Linked DNA regions of Arabidopsis thaliana. The protein of the gene in region 3 interacts with the protein of the main gene of each other region in a pairwise test. Each region holds a gene or a part of one and is shown on either strand. Other genes may lie near its edges.

The links. Proteins that work in one complex are often made in the same cells at the same time.
Region 1: the proteins of ATGRIP (region 3) and ARL1 come close enough for resonance energy transfer, tested with the Arabidopsis thaliana proteins (one study listed by BioGRID).
Region 2: the proteins of ATGRIP (region 3) and GC5 come close enough for resonance energy transfer, tested with the Arabidopsis thaliana proteins (one study listed by BioGRID).

The regions. Positions count from the first base shown.
Region 1 is NC_003070.9:8,528,531-8,534,149, forward strand, and holds ARL1 (ARG1-like 1), read right to left. Parts: upstream 3,733-5,619; 5' UTR 3,417-3,732; coding exon 3,280-3,416; intron 2,975-3,279; coding exon 2,851-2,974; intron 2,564-2,850; coding exon 2,481-2,563; intron 2,391-2,480; coding exon 2,279-2,390; intron 2,181-2,278; coding exon 2,076-2,180; intron 1,992-2,075; coding exon 1,941-1,991; intron 1,820-1,940; coding exon 1,730-1,819; intron 1,637-1,729; coding exon 1,528-1,636; intron 1,408-1,527; coding exon 1,205-1,407; intron 1,050-1,204; coding exon 753-1,049; 3' UTR 534-752; downstream 1-533. Other genes in the region: AT1G24110 (Peroxidase superfamily protein), read left to right, coding at 1-288. UniProt on the Arabidopsis thaliana protein: Plays a continuous role in plant development probably in the structural organization of compartments. Seems to not be involved in gravitropism signaling pathway.
Region 2 is NC_003070.9:30,027,869-30,035,819, forward strand, and holds the start of GC5 (golgin Putative 5), read right to left. Parts: upstream 6,034-7,951; 5' UTR 5,846-6,033; intron 5,723-5,845; 5' UTR 5,641-5,722; coding exon 5,493-5,640; intron 5,034-5,492; coding exon 4,090-5,033; intron 4,011-4,089; coding exon 3,939-4,010; intron 3,811-3,938; coding exon 3,736-3,810; intron 3,651-3,735; coding exon 3,536-3,650; intron 3,391-3,535; coding exon 3,329-3,390; intron 3,251-3,328; coding exon 3,203-3,250; intron 2,995-3,202; coding exon 2,710-2,994; intron 2,615-2,709; coding exon 2,495-2,614; intron 2,420-2,494; coding exon 2,336-2,419; intron 2,234-2,335; coding exon 2,168-2,233; intron 2,081-2,167; coding exon 1,982-2,080; intron 1,900-1,981; coding exon 1,681-1,899; intron 1,452-1,680; coding exon 1,337-1,451; intron 1,261-1,336; coding exon 1,040-1,260; intron 752-1,039; coding exon 692-751; intron 606-691; coding exon 492-605; intron 404-491; coding exon 329-403; coding exon of another isoform or gene 278-328; and 5 more. UniProt on the Arabidopsis thaliana protein: Golgi matrix protein playing a role in tethering of vesicles to Golgi membranes and in maintaining the overall structure of the Golgi apparatus.
Region 3 is NC_003076.8:26,404,363-26,412,075, forward strand, and holds ATGRIP (Golgi-localized GRIP domain-containing protein), read right to left. Parts: upstream 5,994-7,713; 5' UTR 5,720-5,993; intron 5,583-5,719; 5' UTR 5,527-5,582; coding exon 5,121-5,526; intron 5,032-5,120; coding exon 4,916-5,031; intron 4,739-4,915; coding exon 4,569-4,738; intron 4,458-4,568; coding exon 4,364-4,457; intron 4,206-4,363; coding exon 4,119-4,205; intron 4,019-4,118; coding exon 3,938-4,018; intron 3,813-3,937; coding exon 3,687-3,812; intron 3,361-3,686; coding exon 3,252-3,360; intron 3,160-3,251; coding exon 3,080-3,159; intron 2,888-3,079; coding exon 2,759-2,887; intron 2,672-2,758; coding exon 2,571-2,671; intron 2,400-2,570; coding exon 2,266-2,399; intron 2,181-2,265; coding exon 2,083-2,180; intron 2,023-2,082; coding exon 1,903-2,022; intron 1,774-1,902; coding exon 1,725-1,773; intron 1,613-1,724; coding exon 1,554-1,612; intron 1,409-1,553; coding exon 1,337-1,408; coding exon of another isoform or gene 1,331-1,336; exon of another isoform or gene 1,266-1,330; coding exon 1,218-1,265; and 7 more. Other genes in the region: ATSAC1B (Phosphoinositide phosphatase family protein), read right to left, coding at 23-106, 194-329; STR16 (sulfurtransferase protein 16), read left to right, coding at 6,195-6,283, 6,370-6,443, 6,507-6,631, 6,703-6,777. UniProt on the Arabidopsis thaliana protein: Golgi matrix protein playing a role in tethering of vesicles to Golgi membranes and in maintaining the overall structure of the Golgi apparatus.

The DNA.
Region 1 (5,619 bases), on a different chromosome or scaffold from region 3:
ACCAATGATGAACAGATGTCTGCGTTTAATGACGTTTTTACTCCAGGGAAATTTGATAATATGTATTACAAGAATTTGAAGCACGGTTACGGGTTGCTCCAGTCCGATCACGCGATTGCGTTTGACAACAGGACGCGCTCGCTGGTGGATCTTTACGCGGAGGACGAAACGGCGTTCTTTGACGCGTTTGCGAAGGCTATGGAGAAAGTTAGTGAGAAGAATGTGAAGACGGGGAAGCTTGGAGAAGTAAGAAGGCGGTGTGATCAATACAATGACTACAAGGGATAAATTAGGATTACCCCTTTTAACACACATTCAAAATTTATTTGGTAGTGACTAGTGAATTTGGTCTTGTGATATTGAGTTGCTAATATATTGAAATTGAAAATGTAGCAATCATGATTCATGCCTTCGGGTGGAAAAAAAAAATCTCTCGTGAAATTTTTTGTGCCATCAATATGTGTTATCTAAATTTTTGCATGTGTCAAATTGAATAATCTGTTACAAAATTGGATATCACAAAATTTCCATACTTGCGATCCATTTGTCATATGTGATCTCGGGTTCAATAGGGCACAATATGTTTAAGAGAACTTTGACAGATAACAATTATCAAAATAAAATTGTTGACTAATACTAATGATAAGTTGAAGGAGAAAAATAGCAAAAGATTTACAGATACACCGATCCCTAAGGTAAGGGAGAAAAATAATGGATAAGAATCTTTTTCTTTGATAAAAGTGATGAAGAAACTAACAAGGTTTTTTCTTGTCCAATTTCAAATGTAAATTGAACCATTTGCTCTTCTTCTTTAGTGTCTCGGACTTATCACAAGTACTTGGTTTCTTGTTCTTCTGTCTGCTGCTTTCTTCCTCTTCTTCTTCCTCTTCCTCTTCCTCTTCTTCCTGTTCAGTTGGAGCAGGCGCCTTAGCCGCCGCCTTCTTGAATGAGCTCTTTCTCATCCTGTTCTTGCTCGAGCTCCGCTTCATCAATGGAATCGTCGTGTATGCTGAGTGAATTTCATTTCTCTGCTTTAAGAGCTCATCGATCTGCAAAAAGACCATAAGATAATCAGACTAAGCTAACCATTTCAGAAACTTACACATAGAATCTGGTCTAATTTACTCAGTCATGACACATCTTCTCTTCGTTTTCTGTGAATGGTGGTTTGAAATTTATAAACTTTCATGAATAAAAGACTAACCGATTGCATTTCTTGAGCGTATCGACTGGTCATATCGGTGAACTGCACAAGTACTTCCCTGTACTCTGTCTCAAACTTTGCCAGCTCTGCTCTTTTAGTGAGTATCTGAGCTTCTACAGACCTGAGGTCTTCTTTTTCTTGCGTAAAAGCGGCAGCACACAGGACTTGGATTGTGTAGCTCACATTTTTAAAAAAGTTATCACCTGAACAAAGGAAAATGTCATCAGATGATCACCAAGTTGAATCGAATACTGAATCCAGACAGATATAAAAGGGAGAAGATAAATGAATTTGTAATCAGATAATAAACCAGGAAAACTGACCATAGACAGCAAAGACATGCGTGCCGGCCTTTAGCTCGGTTACCTCACATTGCTGAAAACCATCAAGCTTTTTAAAGAAGGCAGTTTCTGGATCTTTTGCTTGAGCCATCTAGAGCAAAAAAAATGAAGTCTTGTTGGGAAAAAGAAACTCATCCACCAGAATGAGGTGAAGTAAATTTAGAACATAGTGAAGTGAACCTACTGAATTAATTGTGTGATCCAACCGGTAGACAGGGAAACCGAGAAAGTACATTCCGGCAGATGTTATCTTACCCGTTCTTTTGCTGTCCTCCTGTATCCACGTAGAATTCAATGTACAAGAAGAAAACAACCATTTGAGTTACTTATATTTATATGATATATGAAAACCCTCTGAAAAACACTGTTTTCACTTCAATTGATAACAACAATACCTGCAGGGCTAGGCTTAATCCGCTGTTGGCCTCTTGATCAAAATACAGTAGCTGCACAAGCAGACACACACGTTAGTTCATTATACTTTGGTACTTCCATACCAGTTTGACAGGAAAGACTCTGCCCGAACCAACCTTGAATTTGCTTTTGCTAGATGATTCTACTCTGCAGACCAACCCAGCACTTACTTCCTCTTCTGATATTGTGACAGCATAAAAGTGTGCACATTGCTTTTCAACCTGTAAGAACCATGGCATATATGAGACTTATATGGAGACAGACACTCATTACATACACAGATGAGATCATTACTAGGCATCCGCTAAAAACAACACACCTTTTTAGACACAGCTTGTCCAAGTACAAGAGGATCAACTGAAACTCTGCCATTAAGAGCCTCCTCCAATATAGTTGCAGATACAGATGTTTTTATCGGCACACCAAGTTTGCTAATTCATCGGAAGTTTCAGAACATATACTCAGCTTGCATAAAAGGGGGCTTAGGAAACGAACAGAAGTCTAAATCAAAAGAAACAAACCTAAACAAAGCTGCAAACACAGTATTCACAGCTCCTAAACTTGAGAGATCTAGCTCCAGCTCTTGGCTTTCTGCTTCAACAGCCTGTGAAAGAGAAGCGCGTTGCAATTAGCAAAGTCTTAAAGTTGATGCTAGCGTAGTATTAGCTGCTAAAAGAATTTCGAAGCACACCACAGATTAAGAACGTCCCTACAGAAAAGCAGTATTTTCTAGAGACCAGGGTCCTATAAGAGCCTAAACAGCATCTTAACCTAGACTAATACAGCATGATAACTATAATTCAACAGAAGACACACACACAAAAAATTAACTCTTGCCACACATAGAGGTCAGAGTAAATCTACAATCCCACAATGCAAAACAAATCTCACCTCAAAACCAGCTGAATCAAACTGGCGACGTTTCTCCGGATCAGATAAGATGTTGTAAGAAAACGTGACCTCCTTAAACATGTCAGCTGCAACCGGATCATTTGCAGTCTTATCCGGATGGTACCTGCAACACAAAACATTAATTAGGGACTATAAAAAACAAAGAGAGAGCTTGTGCAGAGGATTTGTAATTACCCTAGACCAAACCATCACCTTCCCTAATGTAATTCGGATTAGGCTTAGCTAAACAAATCACAGATTAACAAGTAGTCATTGACTAATTCCCAGACTTATCGGTAACCTAAATTGACTCAATTCAAGGTTCTTCTTCATAGCCTAACCCTAAAATTAACACAGCTTTTCGAATTGCAAATTTCAAATTTCAAACTAGGACTCTAGGAGAGACATAAGAAACCAAATTAAACTTACTTGAGAGCCAATTTCCGGTAAGCGCTCTTAATTTCCTGATCGGTAGAGTTCCTTAAGACTCCTAAAACCTCATAAGGATCCCGACGGAGCTGCTTATCAGCATCCTTCTTCTCCGACTTGGATCTATGACCTGGCATTTTCTCTTCACAACCAAAACCCCTAATAATCAATCACACTTCAACAAAATAGAATCTCCAGCGAGGTGATAATAATCTTCTCCAATTATTCCTTCATTTCTACAATTCTCTCCCCGGAAACCTCAAATTGACGGCGGAAGAGAGCTACGAGACGGTTCTATGTATCTCTCTATATCTCCGATCCTTGCGAGAGATAAGACTGAACTGTCAAAGGAGAAATCGTCGGAGGAAGGTGAGAGAAATAGTTTGAGAGAGAGAGAAGACGAAATTTAAAACTGTGGATATTTCACACTACAGTGCGCTGGTTCGGCGCGTGATATCGGCGCGTGGGTTATGAGATTTGAGGTCCGCAGGTTGTTTCTTGTTTTGGCATCTTTGTTTTTGGGAGGCGCGTAGTGTTCACGCGAAGCAAGACAGTAGGTTTCCAGATTAAATCAATCAATTAACATTAATAATCCAACTCATATGTGTTATTTATGACCTTTTTTTAATCATTTCTCTAATGTTTGTTTCTATTTGGATTGGTTTAGTTATAAGTTATAACTTACAATATGGTTTTCAACAATATCTAGTACCCAACTTATATTAGTGGTTCAAGTTTAACAATTAACAAATTTTTATATTTACTTTGTTATACGTTTTTGTAAACAGCTAAGATTTTTCTATGTGACATATATGGGAATTTTAAAAAATATAATTATGGTAAAAACAAAAATAGAAAAAGGATTTTACTATATAGGTAGGGTTGAATAGTAACAGTTTTGTTGACTATAACAATATAATAATAATTATTTATGAGTATAATAACAGTTTAATATTTGATTTGATGCTGCTGAGTTTGAGTATAATCGAATTTAATTAGCGATTAACGTCAAATTGTTAAGTTTTTATTTTATTTTCTGTCCTATCCTCACAAAAAGGTTGTGATGCTGGCTTGCATCAGTGTACAACTTTTCAGGAATATTTTATAAAAAATGGTCCACATGAGATTATTAATTGAGTATTAATGAAAATGAAAACACAACGACGAGGACACTTCAACACAATCAGAGGCTCATTATCATGTTGGGTTCATTTTTCTAATAAATTTGTGTTCTTGCCAAATCTTTTCTTGGGCTTTATCGAGGATCATTTTAAACTAATGTAAAGATTAGTTTGTAACAAATATTTGTTTATAAGAATGTCTAAGAAATACTTTACCGTTTTTGATTATTTTAGATAGAAAAATACATTGGAGAATGAGATATTTGCAGTTTCAAAATATTACTTTCACTTCACGAGATCGGGACGTATTACATTATAATTAAAATTATTATCAGCAGATTCCTACTACGAAAATGATTGGAACTGGTCCCCTTTACGGTCATAAGTCACAACAAAACGTCATATGCTTAGGACTGTTGACTTGTTTGATGGGTTTGTATCATCGTACTAAAATCTATATATTATTCATGGGTCTCTAAAGTTTGGGCCTTACAATTAGAAACCCAATAACTGAATCGCCTAAAATGTTAAACCTCCATTCGCATTTTATCAAGCAATAAGAAGGGACATATATTTTGGTAATTGCATAGAGTATTTTTATATTTCAATTTAGAATTCAGTTATCTGCACACAAAGATTGTATAGTAGTACTATAGTGTGAAAGTTTTTCTTTCCCCATACTTCACGTGTATTATGCGATATCCATTTATCACTATTATAACATATAAATTCAGTCATAGTGGAAGACAAAACTACGTGATTCGTTATTTTAAAAAGTTCCACAATTCTTTTATCAATGTTTTTTGGGGGGTCATCTGACCTCACACACATATTCCAGATTAATAACTTCAACCAAACACAAATCATAAAACCACCACACCACATGGATGATCAACTTCCACGTTGTAGAATAAGTTTTATAATTCTCTATCGTCATTTTAAATTTACTTTAACTCTATATTTCACAAAGAAAAATAAAACTAAACATTAAAACAATGTGTACACATAAGTTCGTGTGAAGTCGTGAAGGTCATTGTTAATAACATAGCCAATGATGATCAAAACTGAGAAATCTCATATATTTGGAGAACAAATTTATAAATCGTAATATTAAAGTGTACTCCGATAACCGAGTGTTGTAGGTTTTTGACTAAAACCTAGGTAGCTCCATTATGATATATCACATTCATAAGTATATAGACTAATAAAGAGAGATTAG
Region 2 (7,951 bases), on a different chromosome or scaffold from region 3:
TTTATTCTCGTCTCCAAAATAATAATTTACGATCGAATTCACTGTAAGAAAAATCTTCTTTCGAGCAGCAAAAGTTTGTTTTAAAAAGCCTCAAGTTCAACCAACACCTGAGAGACAAAACGACAAATGAATATAGTGGGCTTAGGTTGGTAGCTTATAGAGCTATACAATATTGGGGAAACAAGGATTAGGTGGTCCTACTCGTGAGCCTGAGCTTGCCAACACCATCTTCCCTTGCCCCTCATTGGATCTGCAAACCCAAAATTGCACAAACCCATTAGCCTGAGTTTGTCAACACTTTGACTCCACTTGTGTCTGTTTGCCTTACCTTGTTCACCAGCATGTTCACTTGCTCCCTGTACATCTCCTTCAAGTCCACTATATCCGCTCGAAGTTCCTCCAACTACCACCCAAACCCACTTTTTTATTAACTCAATGCCAACTACTGTTGTTAATGCTGGATACACTACTATTTTATTCACATATCTTACCTCCTCATCTCGTTCACCCATCAATTCCAGAGCAGCCGCGTGTCTTTGCCTTAGTGCTTCCAGCTCTGCCTTTATGCCCGGGACCCTATCTGCCTCCCCCCGTAGCTTCTCACACTACATCCACAGTTACCAGATATAGACGAAATATCATCATAACACTGAGCATAATATCAACTCTAAACTCTCAGCGCTATACATACCTCTGCTGTCATTTTGACTAGTTCTTCAGCCAGGGAATCTCGGATAGACTCCATTGATGCCTGTCCAAAGGCAAATAGACTCTTACAGTTAGATTCTACAGATAACGATGATACTAACAACCAGCCTATACTACCTCGACGAGTAGAGCTAAACCTTCTAAACCAGCTTATAAAAGAAGGCTAACCACGGTGTGCAACTAACCAATAATTTCTCAACATGATCCAAACACCCATAGTGTCCCATTGTAAGGACTGATGTCAACCTCAATCCCATTACTAAGCCAATTGCCAAAAGCCTACCAACAGAGTTACACAAAAATGTCCCAGTTGGATATTTTCTACACCTACCAAGCGGGTCATGTATGAAGCAAGTTCACCCTCTTTCTGTCGAAGTGTGGCTTCATAAGCACTCGGTGTGATGCTCTTCATGTAGTACGGACTCATAGTTGCCTCAGGCATGCTTCGCTTCTCAGAAAATTTATCTGAAGAATCAAGAGAAGCTTGCAGAAAATAGCTCTCCTCCATGCTTCCAAGGCTGCTTGCGCTTGATAGCTTTCTAGGCAAGCTTCCTGATGCAATAGTTAATGAATTACAGATGTGCAATGCCTGACTTATTAAGCAGTAGTATAGATCTAGATGCATCACCATTCTCAAAGGCAGAATTTTGCCTTGCTATAGGAAGCTGTTCAGAGACTGCCGAGGAATTGATACGGGCCGTTCTTTCAAGATCCAAACGTGAAGCCTTCTCCCTCTCTAGGTCCTGAAAAAAATAGGCCATATTGAGAAACTACTTGGACAATAAAGAAGAGTAATAAACTGGAACAGTTCGGTTGTTAATAGAAGCTACTCAGGATGAAAAAGTTTGGGAAAGCACTACTTTGATTGAATTCGCTAGGTACTTCAGTCCTTTAAATTCCGTAACTGATGGGGCATTTTTCATGGGACTAACTCTTATTAGATTAAGTTATGTCCATAAAGCAATGTAGAACCTTTTGAATAAGCTCGTTGTGGAGTAGCACTTCCTGCAACTCTTGCTTATGTTTTCTCCGAAGTTCCCTTATCTCAACTTCAAGTTGGTTTGCTCGACCTTCTAGGGTATCTGCTTCCTCCTTAGCTGCCAGATACTCCTGTCTATTTTCTGCTGCTCTCTGCCTCTCTTTCTCAAGTGACTTGCTTAACTGGCCCTGTTCTGCTCTGAGACATGAAAGCTGGATAGGAGAACTGGGTAAGCTAAAATTTAGAGAAAGCTGCGAAAATTGATGAAGAACAGTGTCAAAAAGCATAGAAAACCTGGGCCTCTAGAACATTGATCCTTGATAATGTTTGAGAGAGGCGTTCATTCACAGAGCGCTCTCGTTCTTCAGCTGTTGCAGCTTTACTTTCTGCTTCCTGAATATTTCTAGAAAGTGAACAAAAAGATAGAGAAAACAAAAATAATTGGCTGAATATAGCATAGAGCAGTGTTGTTCATAACACCTGCAATCGAGAATTCAGAGTTCTTTCTACAGCAGCCCAAGCTTCTGCTGTTCTATATGAAGTTTCCTATCGCCAATCAGATAAGAGGCATGCAATGTTACAATTTAATTTAAGATTCTAATCTCAGGAGAAGTTCTTTCAGAAAAAACATATGGGTCAATTTTTTACCTGCATAGCCTCAATCTGTCTTAGGAGAGGCCTTGTAGACTCAGGAACCTGTGTGATTAATTCCTCACACCTTCGCTCACTAGCCTATAAGAGTGGTTGGTTTAGCAAACAGTAAACAGAACAAACTATTAGTAACTAGAATTATGGTTCAAACGTAACCAAAAGGCGATAACCAAAGAAAGAAATATGCATAGAGACAACGAAACATCTTGATTTGACCTGATAGCGTCTTTGAAGGTCCTCAATTTCTCCACGGAACATGTCTTCCCTATACACTGCCTGTAAAAATTAGAGCCCACCGACTAGGTGAGTATAAATAAAATGATGAGATCCCAGTAGTACTCTATCCCAAATTTGATCGAGGAAGACAAAACCTGTTGCTCCTTTTTGCTTAAGGTTTGCCTCAATTCTTCCAGCGCCTGGACTAGCATAGATTCCCGCTCTCCAGCCTCCTTTAGACGATTCTCTAACTCTGACCTCGCTTCATTGTTGGTACGCTCCTCAGCTAACGCTTGAGCTTCCTTTGCTGCAGCTAATGCGTTTGAGTAATAGTCTTTCTGAGAAGTAAGTTCAGCTTGATGTTTTTCTATGGTCTCTTGCAGCAGCTTTTCTGTAGCTGTCTTGTCCCTTTTAATGCTTTCGACCTTATTTTCTTCCGACTGGCAATTGAAAGGAAAAATTAATGAAGCTAAGAAGCTTAACAAACTTTGCAAATGCTTTAGTTATTTAGATATTAATCCTGCCTACAAGAAGACTGATTTTCAAACCAGCCTTTCACAAAAGCTTCTGGGAAATCAAGAAAACCCCTTCAGGCAGTTTCATCCTTAATGACGTGGTTAATGAAACAAAAAAAAAAAAATCAATTACCTGAAGCTTTGTGATCAGTCCTTTCTTTTCTTCTTCTGCCTCTCTAATCTAACCCTCGTACAAATAAGAATTGCCATGAGACTGTTGGTATTGATAAAAATGAAACACATAGCGTTGAATATATACCTGAGCCCTTAGCTTCCTGATCTGAGCTTCTTGAGCAGCCTGTTTCTTTGAAAGCTCTTCGCCTGAAATGATTAGCATTAATATCAAGAGCTCAAGCTGAGCAAGAAATGACGTCCTTTCATTTTTCAGGTGTTCGCTTTCAACACCATTTTTTTATAACGAGAAAAATACGATCCATAATTCAAGCATTCCAAAAGGCTGTCTTACCTTCAGCCATAACTTGATTTATTATTTCATCCTTTTCTTTCAAAAGGGCCGCAGCATCACTTTTCTTGTTCTGTTCTCTTCTAAGTGTATCCCGCTCTTTGGTGAGAGCATAAACCTACAAAGATAAGCACTGTGAAGGCATATATATATATAATGAAAAGAAGAGAATTGAAAGAGAAGAATGATAAAAGATATAATACCTTCCTCTCAAGAGTTGCAACTCTCTGATGGTATTCTTCTCGCAAAGACTCGACTTCAGCTTCGTTAGATTTCCTCTGTTCCAGAGCAGAGGTTATTAGAATGTAGATTCAAAATCATTCCAAATGAAAGGAAGATGGGCGGAAGACTGGGGAAAAAAGTAATCCTTCATCTAATATCCCATATTCCGCATACTCTATTGTACCTTCAAATCCTCAGTGACAGATTTTAGCTGCTCATTTTCATGCATCAACTTCGCAATCTCATCAGCCTTTGCCTGTAAACAAATCCCCAGAAAATTGGTATAGAAGCACCATATCCGTAGCAAAACCTTTCATGAGGATCTAAAGATGTACCTGAGCTTGCCTTGCAGCACCTTGCAGGGCATTTTCCAACATTTTTATTTCCTTTTTGGTCTTCTCTAATTCCAGAATAACATCAGCAGAGTCGGAAACATTTGTCGCAGAGCTTGAACGCTGGCTTTCATTTAACTCACTAGTATCCAGTCTTGAATCTATTTCACGAGAAACAAAATCCACAATTCTCTCCGAAATTTCATCTGACGACGATCTCTTTGGTATAGAAGACTCGTAAGGAGAACCATCAGACTCAAAAATTAAAGACGGATGAGCAACAGGGGACTCTATCCTATTTACATGATTGATATCTGGTGAAACTTCAAAATTTTTAGACGAGGTTCTCCCTTCCAGATTTTCACCCAGAATTTCTTGTTCATTTGTTGTCTCATCCATATAAGTAATCTTATGCTGTCCATCTAACACAGGGGAGTGAACAGTGTCTTTGTTTTCTACAGTAACCTCTTTTGCTTCAGAATCCTCAGGCTGTGATTCCTCAGCCTCTGACTTGGGTTGCTCGGGCTGTGAATCTTGAGAAGCTGTCATTTCCAGCTTTTCATTAGGTTGAAGACTAGTCTTGTAACCTGAGGATTCAGGAGTCTGAAGAGAATATTCAGAGGACTCTTCGAGAAGTATCTGCGATTGCGGTTCATCATCTTTGGGATCCAAAACAACAGTTTCTGTTACCTCAGGATTATCTGCTTGATCAGCTTCTCTTCTCACGTTTGTTTCTTTATTTGCTTCAACAGATACTGCTTGTTCAGTAGCTAGCTTAACCGATCCAGCTTCTTCTTCTTTTTGTTCAATTTGAGACGGATTTTCTGTACGCACAGAGTCTTCCAATGTATCAGGTTTCTCATCAGAGGTGTTACCCATGAAGGACATAACGGGATCAAAGAGGCTTTTGGTATCAACTGCAGGTGGCCACATACTTGAAGCTGCATCTAAAAAGAAAGAACAAAAGGATTTTTGTTGTGAAAGGTACAAGAAACTCAAGACAAACTAGAGAAGAAAATGATTTGTGCTACAGTTAGGTAAACACAGAATACCCCTGAAATCATAGCCAGAAAAAGCTGTCACCAAGTAAACGCAAAGATCCAAAACAAAGTGTTTTTTTCAAATTCAGAATAAAATGCAATGGGTAGAATCTGAAGCACACTAGCTAAGCTAGTTCTAAGAAAAATAAGACAGAATCCCATAACTTGCAAGATTGTATTATTGCAACAGCAGATTATTGATCTAAACATCCTACATAAAGAAGAAGAAGAAAAATGGCAGGTCCTATCAACAAATGCGCCTTGAGTAATCAAATCCTATATTCCCAGCTGACTAACAGCAGATTATTGGGAAGGATGATAATATTATGTGTATTGATTGGAAAAAAAGTGAGAAGAAGAGAACACCTTCAGCGGCAGAATCGGACTTGTCGTCGAAGCCAAGGGCGTTGTCGAAATTCTTTTCAATGTTTTTAACGCTCTCCTGGAATTTATTGACAGCGCCAGTGAGATCTGGGAATCCTCCCAGAGAAACTTTGCCACTGAACCAAGCCATCTCTACTTGAGAGATATATCTGGAAACTCGATCGACTTAAATCTCAGAAATCACCGGACCAGATCCATCTCCAGCCCTGTGGCTTCCAAGGAAAACAATCAACCAATCGAGTTTAGATCCCAATTACATCACTGAATCAATTATTAAGACGAGGCGATTGGATAAAGCAGAATAGAGCTATCTATTGGGATCATCAATGGCTTACGAGAAGGAGATGCGTCGTCCTTGCCGTCGTGATCGAATTCCGGAGGAGAGAGACCCACCCCTATGTGTTTTATGTTTTTTTAGATCCAACAAAATCCAAATCCTTTTTTTTCCCTCGGCCACCGGCGGTACAAACGGCGTCGTTTCGCGGATTAGAAAAACGTTCTGTCTTGATATCATTTACTTCATTCTAAGCGGCTTTGGTCTGAATTTTTTATATACAAGGCCTGTCTCCGTTTTTGTAAAGGGAAAACAGTAGGATCCATTTTAGCCTCTGTAAGTAACAATATTGGGCCCCTAAAAGCCCACCCATTTTGGGGCCAGCAAACCAAGGCACCCTCGGTTCCGCACGCTCGCTAAGACGCTAACCTATGCATATGTTGATATGTTTTTTCTCTTCCTTTTGGTATGAATCTTGATTTGTTTTGATACTCATGATGTACATTCGTATTCTCTTACGTATTGTAAACCATCCTATTTCAGATCACGATTATATCTTTACATTTACATTTTTCATTTTTATTTCTGTTTGAATGTTACAATTTACTAGTAGAGTTATTCATTAAAATACTACAACTGGTATACAGAAATGTAATTTGAGTGATAAATTATATGAAATAATTAAGTAATATATGTGATATTTATGGATCCAAACAAAAACTAATTACTGGTTCATTTTCTATTTTAGATGTAAGCAAAATGTGTAAGATTCAAGGTATATATATATCCCAATATACGTATATATGTGGTACTCACTAGCTAGTAGCTCTCTCACAACTGTGTCTTTTGGTTTTCATCAGCTGATCCTCTCCAACTAACTATCCATCTTTTGTTTTGCGGTTGGACTTGGAGGTACCAAGAATATTAGCAACGTACGACTCGTATGGTATCATTTCCTTTGTACAAAAAGTGAATATCAAAATGCATTGTATTAATTATATATAAGTTAGTATATGGAGTTAGTTGTCCTCACTGTCTTTATCTGGCGCAATCTCCTATGCCATCATTCCCTCTTCACACGTACGTGTGCACACTCGATGTCACATTTGTATAAACACGTTTGCTTTTAGCGTGAGATCATCACCATATTCCATTTTTGGTGGGTCAGTTCTCTTTCTAGATAGTTATTTGTAAGGACGTGAATTAAAAGGGATCGTCGTCACTTGTTGAGATAAAAGAAAAGATATATGGTCAGTTTCTGCATCTTGGAATCAACTTAAGGGTTGTCTTAATTAATTTTGATAGACCCTACTTTAAAAATTAATTAGTTGCTTTCATTGGCCCTCAATAAGAAAAGCCAAAAAAGAAAGAAGACTGGTCTTGGAAGTTTGCCAACACGGGTAATAGATTAATGGTGAAAAGGGCGAATTTTTTTACCCAAAACCCTAATTAAGTAGAAGTATTAATCGAGAGCAAAAAAGAGAGAGAGAGTCAGTAGCCAAAAGGAATGAATGGAAGAAAGAAAAAGGAATCTCTATAGGCAGCATATATTCAAGTAATTAATTAAAGTAGATAGATAGAGCAAAAGGAGAGGTTAGGAGGCATTAATTAATTATTTAAGAGCATGTGGTGAATGTAAATGTTTATGGTTGCTTCCCTCTCTATACATTATGTATCTACCTTTCCTAACTAACAATTCCCTAGGCCGTACGACGACTAACAAAGAAAAAAACAAAAGAAACTGATAAAGCTTTTGAATTGTAGATAAATCATCTGCTACAGTTATACCATTATATATCTTATTAAAGACCTAAGTTTCCTTCACTATACGTCTTCGTCCATTTACGTACGTATTATACGGACGGTTTAAGCTACTATATCTATATTGTTAACAATGTAACTGTTGAGATATATCTTGCAATAATATGTCATGGTGTATGCATACGATAATATGAATCAATGTTTGAAATCTTGACGTGCCCGTGATACAATAAGATGATCAAAATTTCAAATTTTGTCAAATATTAAAACAACATACACATACACATGTGTCCAGGTGGCATTATAAAATGTATATATGGTGGATATAGAGAGAGAGGGAGATGCGTATAGTGAATAGGAAAGTAAGTAATAAAGAGAGGGTGGAGGAATTGGAAAGGGGTTGGAG
Region 3 (7,713 bases):
GATAGGATCTCTGAAATTTCACCTGCCAGGAGCTTCAGCATCCCAACCACACCGAAAATGGAGCGGATTTTAGGGACACGCAAAGAGTTGCATTCTGCTACTTGATCTGAGACAGGCAAGAGGATGCATTACACATACATGCATAAGAGAACAAAAAGATTCCAATATAACGAGGCAAAAACAGGAAACACACCAATGAGCTTCATGGAGCCGTCAAGACGACTAATATCCAAACATGAAGCGGAGGAACCATCGGTTGGCTCGATGACGTACTGATCAGGGAATTCCCACAAACGCAAGCCAGAGTGTATCTTGAGCCTACTCACCATGGCTTCCAGCAAGAGGAAGAAGAACCAATCACCTTCTTCGTTACGAGATTTGAAACTAGTAGGCGAAATGAATTCCGCTCAATTAAAATGGCCTTCAAGGCAGTGAGAGTGAGACCCGTTCAAATTGATTCCGTACATAACGGTTGACCAATAACAACAAGTCGACGACCGTTATTATTATACTATCTTTGTAGTTAATTTTGCGTTGACTTTTTTAGTTTCATTAATTCCGATAATCAGCGGTTTTCTGCATGATTACAATAGACTCCATTAAAAATGGCCCAACAACTCAATTCAGTGGCTTATCCTTTCTTTACATCTGGACAAAAAGTGTTTTCTTGACTTTTAGTGTTCATTACACAAAAACGAAGGACTTAAACACAATGTCGTATGTATGTGTATGTATCTTGGCCCAAAAGAATGTGTCCAGTGCCCACCCGACTATGAAAACGAGAATCTTGAGAAGACTGATAGACCTGAACCCTCACTTGCCGGACTTGGAGTCGCCTCTGTTGTTGTTGCCGCTGTTGTTGAGCTATGGTAGGCTTGCTGACACTTCTGGATCTCCTCTGGACTGAACTGCAGCAACATCCCCACTACAGGTAGTAAAGCCTCCACTTCACCTGCAATTATCACAAGTTAATTTACCCCTAAAACATCTACTTCGTGAATCCACCTTTAATCTCCAGGTTTTTTAACCTGTTTCTAGCAGTTTTAATATCACATTCTTTAGGTATGTCATATCCACGCCTTCTCTCTTCTGTTTTCTTTCCATCTCCCTCAACTCCGTCTTTAGCACTGCTTCCTGTAATTTAGCATACCACCGGAAGTTTGAAATAAGATCCTAAGAAACTGGCAAAGCAACCAAACTCTCGTGTAATCACATACCTGTTGACTGTGAAGACGGTTTTCTCGTTCAAGCTCCTCGATTTCCTCCTGATTCAGAATAAACAGTTACTAATTGCAACATGTGCAGAAACAGATCAATGCAACCAATTCTACTACACCTGAAGAGCTAAAATATGGCGCTGTGTCTGTGCTAACTCTTCTTCTCTCTGAGCTTGTTGCCTTGCCAATATCTGAAATTTGATTATTATGTGTCATGATTAGCTCTCACTGATTTGTCCCGTAGGCCATAGCATTACATTTGAAGGAAATTAAGTTCTAGGATTAAAGATCGCTCCTTGCTCACACAAGCAGACAGCTAACATTACAAAATCCTACCAGAATCTGGTGCTCTGCTGCAGAAGTGCTCAAGTTAGATACATCCTGCTGTTGTGACTCTGAAACCCCGTTTAAAGAAAATAATAGGTTATTGATGACAGGGAACCCACTGATTCATTCATATAGGGAGCCCTTATTAAAAAAATATGGTATCAGGAAAACATCTTGTACCTGTGTTGTTGTTCCCATAGTGGTGAACCTGGGATGGAGATTTGTTCCACTTAATGCCACATGAAGAGTGAAAAGTTTCAGTGCAAATTAAATGAAAAGTTACTAGCGTAAAACCAAAGATAAAAAGGAGAAGTAAGGTAATAAGCAAAAAAAAAAAAAAAAAGAACCATCCACATACTACTGGTTTTGACTCCATAGATTTTCGAAGATTTGTCATCTCATCCACAAGTCTCGATATCTCTCGATCCTTCTCCTCAATGAGTCTATCTGCAAGCTCACGTACTGATTCATGCTCCTCCTGCAGGTATGTCAGTTAGACAAAAAAACTTTTTTATGAGTATAACAAAAAGTGATTTACCTTCATTCGTTTATTCCGCAGTTTGGCATTTTCTAGTTCTTTTTCTATACCTTCTGCAGGTGAGGCTTCATTTTGAGCGGTCAAAGCTTCACATCTTCCTATAGATTACTGTAGCCTTTTAGGAAGGGAATTTCAATTTCCAAGAACTAATGAAAAAACCGAATTTAGATTTGAATCAATTACGTCGCCATGTTTCTTCTAAAACCCGAAGGTCTTCTTCCCAAGCTTGTTTCTCCGCCTGATTGCGAGCAACAGTGGAGTCAAGCTTCACTTCAAGACTTTTGATCTGCTCGCTGGCATCTTTAAGTGCTCCAGCTCTGAAATATATATGAAACAAAAATAGCTCAGACGACCAATATATGTCTGAAGAACTCCATAACCAGTCCCCTGAGAACACCATTTCTCAGTTGTTTTCTCTGGCAAATTGAGGAGAATGAGCAGCCAACCTCCGGAATCAAACATGAAAAAGATTCAGTGTCAATATATACCTCTCTTCAAGTTCTTTCTCAAGGCTAGCCAAAGCACTCTGAAGATCTTGCTGTGCCCTATCCCTCTCTGCAGATACCAAATATACTTCTTTTTCAGCTTCCTAACACCACCCAAAAAGATAATTAGTTGGTAAGCACCTTGGCAACCATCTAAAAATATCTCCATCTTAAGATTCTAGATAACTTACCTTTAGAGCTTCCTCAAGAGATTTAATTTGTTCAGAGTCTTTAGCTGCAGCCAGCTCCATGTCCTTCTTTTGCAAAAGCGCGTGAGCACGGATCTTGTAAGAAGAGAATTCACTTTGGAGCCGGTTGATCTGTGAACAGTTACAAGGAATTCAATATGGTTAAATGAAGACTAGCTAAAGCAGAACATTCCTTAAAGCTCAAAATGGCTCTTTGATTCCATAATAATTCACGTTATGTGATTAAGAATGGATGACTAATAAATTCGTTCACCTAACCAAGGCTACAATAGTTTCCAAAAGAACCAAAAGAAAACTATGTACCTCTTCTCTTGCACCTTTGAGTTCCGCATCTTTTGTGCTTAGTATCTGGGTCTGCATGGACATTTCAGATCCCAGCTGACCTGACAATTTATATGAATGAAATGTCTATAGTCCATAGACAAAAGTAAAACATAACTAGATTAGTTCAACGTTTATGAACTCCGTCAATTACTTCTCATTTTAGCCACTTCGATTTCGGCCTGTAAGTAGTTGCTTTCAGCGATTTCCAGTTTAGATTTAAGGGCATCGCATGAAGCTTCCCAAGTCTCCTTTTCCTTTTCCTAAAGGAACAAAAAAAAATCATGGCTTCTATGAATTACAACAAAAGAAAATAGAGGAATTTATATGGCCAAACAAATAGAAACTCTAAACATGCTGTCTGATGACAGACTGACGCCTTAGATCATGTTTACAATTATCTATACGCACTCCTATATTCATTCCCTGGTTAAAACCATGCTAGTAAATCTGCTAAATGATGGAAATCATTTGACGAGTAGTATGCAAAACAATGTCTTAGAATATACGAATGGGCAACAATAACGAAGGACAAATGACAGTTGGCATCAGAGAGTCCTGCGAATCCATCTTTAAACATTCCACTTACATTCTCTGATTTAAGGTGTGCAAGCTCTCCTTTAAGAGTTTCTGCAGCAGCCCTTAGCCTTGCTGCTTCGCCAGTTGCAGCTGCCTCCATCTCTGCAATTTTAGATTCCTTCTCTGCAAGCAGTACCTAAAAGAGGTGTATACTTGGTGTGAAGAATTTATCACTTATTTCAAACTATTCTCTCTCGCTCATTTGAAAACCAAAGCACATCATCCAGTAATAGAACTAAAGAATTTAGTCAAAAGACTAACCTGCAGCGACGAAATGGTTTCGGCTGCTTTGTCCCTCTCAGATAGAGCATCTACGACCTGTGCTTCCAAACCCTCTAAGTTCTGTCAAGAAGGTGGAGAGAAGAGAAAACCTTGGATGTCATTAGCGGAAAATGGTGGCTCATAGCATATAAGAAGTAACACAATCGCTGATGCTGACTACCTTTTGATGCTTGGCTGACAACTCAGTAACTGCAATTTGCTTTCTCTCTTCCACAGCTTGTAATTGCTTTTTCAGGTCCTCCAGAATCTAGGATTAAAGCAAGTACGCATATGAAGCAGAGTATACAGAGCCATCCCTCCCCCCCCCCCCCCCCCCCCCCTCTCTCTCTCTCTCTCTGTCTCTTTTGTCTCTCTATTTTTCTATATATTGCAGACTAGTATTACAGAAAATGAAAGAGATCAAACCTGGTCCTTATCAAGAAGTGACTGTTGCAATGTCTCAATCTTATTTTCTTTAGGCTGCAATGAGCCACGTAGTTCCTCGATAGTATCCCTGAGCCTGTGTAAAGAGAAAACTCCAGTACTCAAATTCTTAGAGGTAGCTGGAGAAGTGGGAAAGGCGACATTCATTTTATACAATTTCTGTAAAAATTATCTTCGAATTATTTACTTGTTATTGGCACTCCTTAGTTGTTGCCTCTCCGCATCCATTGCTTTAAGTGCTTCATTCGCCTGTTGCCTAGTGCGTTCCAGCTCTTGTTGCATGGATGAGTGTTGAGAAGATGCTCGTTCAGCTGTTTCATTCACTTCCCGGAAACGGGCGTCGAGATCATCTTTTTCCTGAAGATAGCAATATAATATACCACTGAGATTAAGACAGCACATAGCAGCGAAATCTATATGTCTGAAAATGCAGCATAGAAATTCCGAAATAGTATAAGATGGTTTTTGAAACTCACAGTAGCCTCAAAGTGGCTAAAACAGAAAGCATTATAAAATGTAGAGAAAGACATTCACCTTTTGGATTTCTTGAATGCGTTGTTTAGCCCTTTTGTGAAGCCTGGTGAATTTGGCGTCCAGGTCGGCATATTTCTCGTCGCGCTCTTTGATTTCCTGGTCCAGTTTCTGTTCAACTACACCAACAATGTAATAGCACAAGTTGAGAAAAGGCAAACACTGGTTCCGGTCAATGAATGAGCAAATAGAAAAGATGGCTTCTGACCTTGGGAAAACTTAGAGGAGTATTCTTGGGATTTAGCATCAGCCTCAGAGTATGCTTCCCTTAGATGCTCAAGAGCTTGCTCAGCTGCAACTCGAGTTTGTTTTTCCACATCAATTTCTCTGCTCAATGATGCGACCTGTTCTTGAAGTTGTTTCAGCTGAGCAGAGTCCGCTTCCACTTGCTCAGCTTTCTGGAGAGACCTACCTTGCGCTACCTCATCCTTGAGTCCCTCAAATTGGGATCTGAGAAAGTCATTTTCTAATCTCAGTTCAGCAATCATTTGGAGTAGCTGATCACCATTTTCTGTCAGAGTCTCGTTGGAGGCATCATTTAACTCTTTATCTTCTTTGATCACATGGCTCTCCTCTTCTTCTCCAACCACATCAGATTCCTTGTCTTCGGACATCTTGGCAGAGCAGATGTCAGAAAGATGAACCCAGACACTCAAGAGAGCGACGACAACTAGTAAGCGCAAAATCGGGATTTGAATCAACAATCAAAAGAGAAAGGAGTCAAGTCGTGAAATTCGAATAAACCAGCAAAAGCAACGCAAGGAGAAGAGAGATTTGAATGTAATCAGTGCCAGAGAAGAAGCTTACCTTGAGGTGAGGGATTAGAGAAGAGTGTGGAGGCAGAGAGAGAGAGGTCACAAACAAGGAATCACGATTTCGAAATATTGGATCGGATCTCAACCCAAAGGTTAAAAACGTCGTCGTCTCTTTCCCGTCGATCAGTGAGACGGTAAAACGTTGATCTGATCGACTGACGAAGAATGGTAAGAATTGTGTAAAGGGTGTTTTACTAATGAATAATTGCATTCAGAAGCCTTAAACCTTTTGAAAATTCATCAAGTAAACCCAAGACGAGGTTAGCTAAAATGATGCCGTTTTGGAATGGTAATATGAAAATATGAAGGACAGTCCGAAAACAGCTTAGCCCATAAAGCAGCAACTTAGGCCCATTATGTATTTGTAATATATGGCCCAATTATAATCACTTTCCCAACTAATTTATATAAAATGAAATTATTGAAGTCTTTGTCCAGTCAAATATAATAATAAGCCATTGAAAAAAATGGCGGAGGAGAGCAGAGTCCCATCATCGGTGTCGGTAACAGTCGCCCACGACCTTCTTCTAGCCGGCCACCGCTATCTAGACGTCAGGTACCGCCCCACCTTTCTCTTTTGACTATTTCAATCATCAACATAGCATCATTAGGATCTTGATGTAATGGGGATGATGAATATAGGACTCCAGAAGAGTTCAGCCAGGGACATGCCTGTGGGGCGATCAACGTGCCTTACATGAATCGAGGAGCATCAGGTATGTTTTTATTTGGTTAGTTGATAACTGAGTGATGGATATAATTTTGTGATTGTGAAACAGGGATGTCAAAGAACCCCGACTTCCTGGAACAAGTCTCCTCCCATTTCGGACAATCCGATAACATCATTGTTGGCTGCCAGAGCGGTGGTAGATCTATCAAAGCCACCACCGATCTTCTCCATGCAGTAAGCTCCACCACAAAGCTCTTCTTTCTGACTTTTACTTTGTTGGTGATATATAATTTGCGAATTTGCAGGGTTTCACGGGAGTCAAAGATATCGTCGGTGGCTATAGTGCCTGGGCCAAGAATGGCCTTCCTACAAAGGCTTGATGACTCACCATTCACCAAACATCTTTCCTTATCTCTTCGTCTCCTTCTTCTTCAATAATGCATCCTTTCCGCATGTAATCATCAATAAATGACCCTCCTTTCTCTTTGCTGTCTGATGTGATAGCTTGGAGGGAGGGGCTCATCGCATCTTTTTAAAATATATAAAAATACGAGTGTGTGTTGATTGCATCGAAATCTCTATATATATAGTTTAAAAAAAAAATCAATTAGAAAGGAGAAAGGAGCATCCGATCAACGATTATATCTACAAGATTGTTACCTTAAAGGTCCATCTGTTCTTGGCAACAGACAATATATGTGTATATATTGAGTGATCGATGAGTACACAAAGACAACAACACCATATCAACAACTCGATCGTGTGTACAAAACAAGTGGTGTGACCTAACGAGGCAAACTTCAAAATACGAGAGAAGCGACGAGAGAGGACTGAGATATTGACACGGCTCAATCAGATGAGTTAGTAAAAGAGAATCTGAGTGAACCAGGCCAATATCAGAGGGACTCTCTCGGAAACATAGTGTATCTGTTTTGTAAAAGAAACAAGAACGCAAGTGAGAGAATGTCTGTAACTGTAAGGAGATTAAGAAGAAGAAGGGAGTGAATGTGCAACTGCAATTCTGCGAAGCATTTAATAACTCTGCTACTCTCAATGCACCAAAGCTGGGCCACCTCTTTTATTTTTCTAACTTTAACCCGAAAACCAAGTGAATAAGGGAGTGTTGTGTAACCATCGTTTCAGGGGAAATCATTCACGTTTCTTTTAACTTACTGCTTAGTCTTCCACAAGTAGACATTTATGAAGGCACAACAATCCACATCTCTTCTTTCCCACTGTATGTAACCGTCCCTCTTTCGTTTTGTCTGCTTCTGCCCTCAGTTTCTTTCTCCTAAATAATCTTCTTATCGCCAATT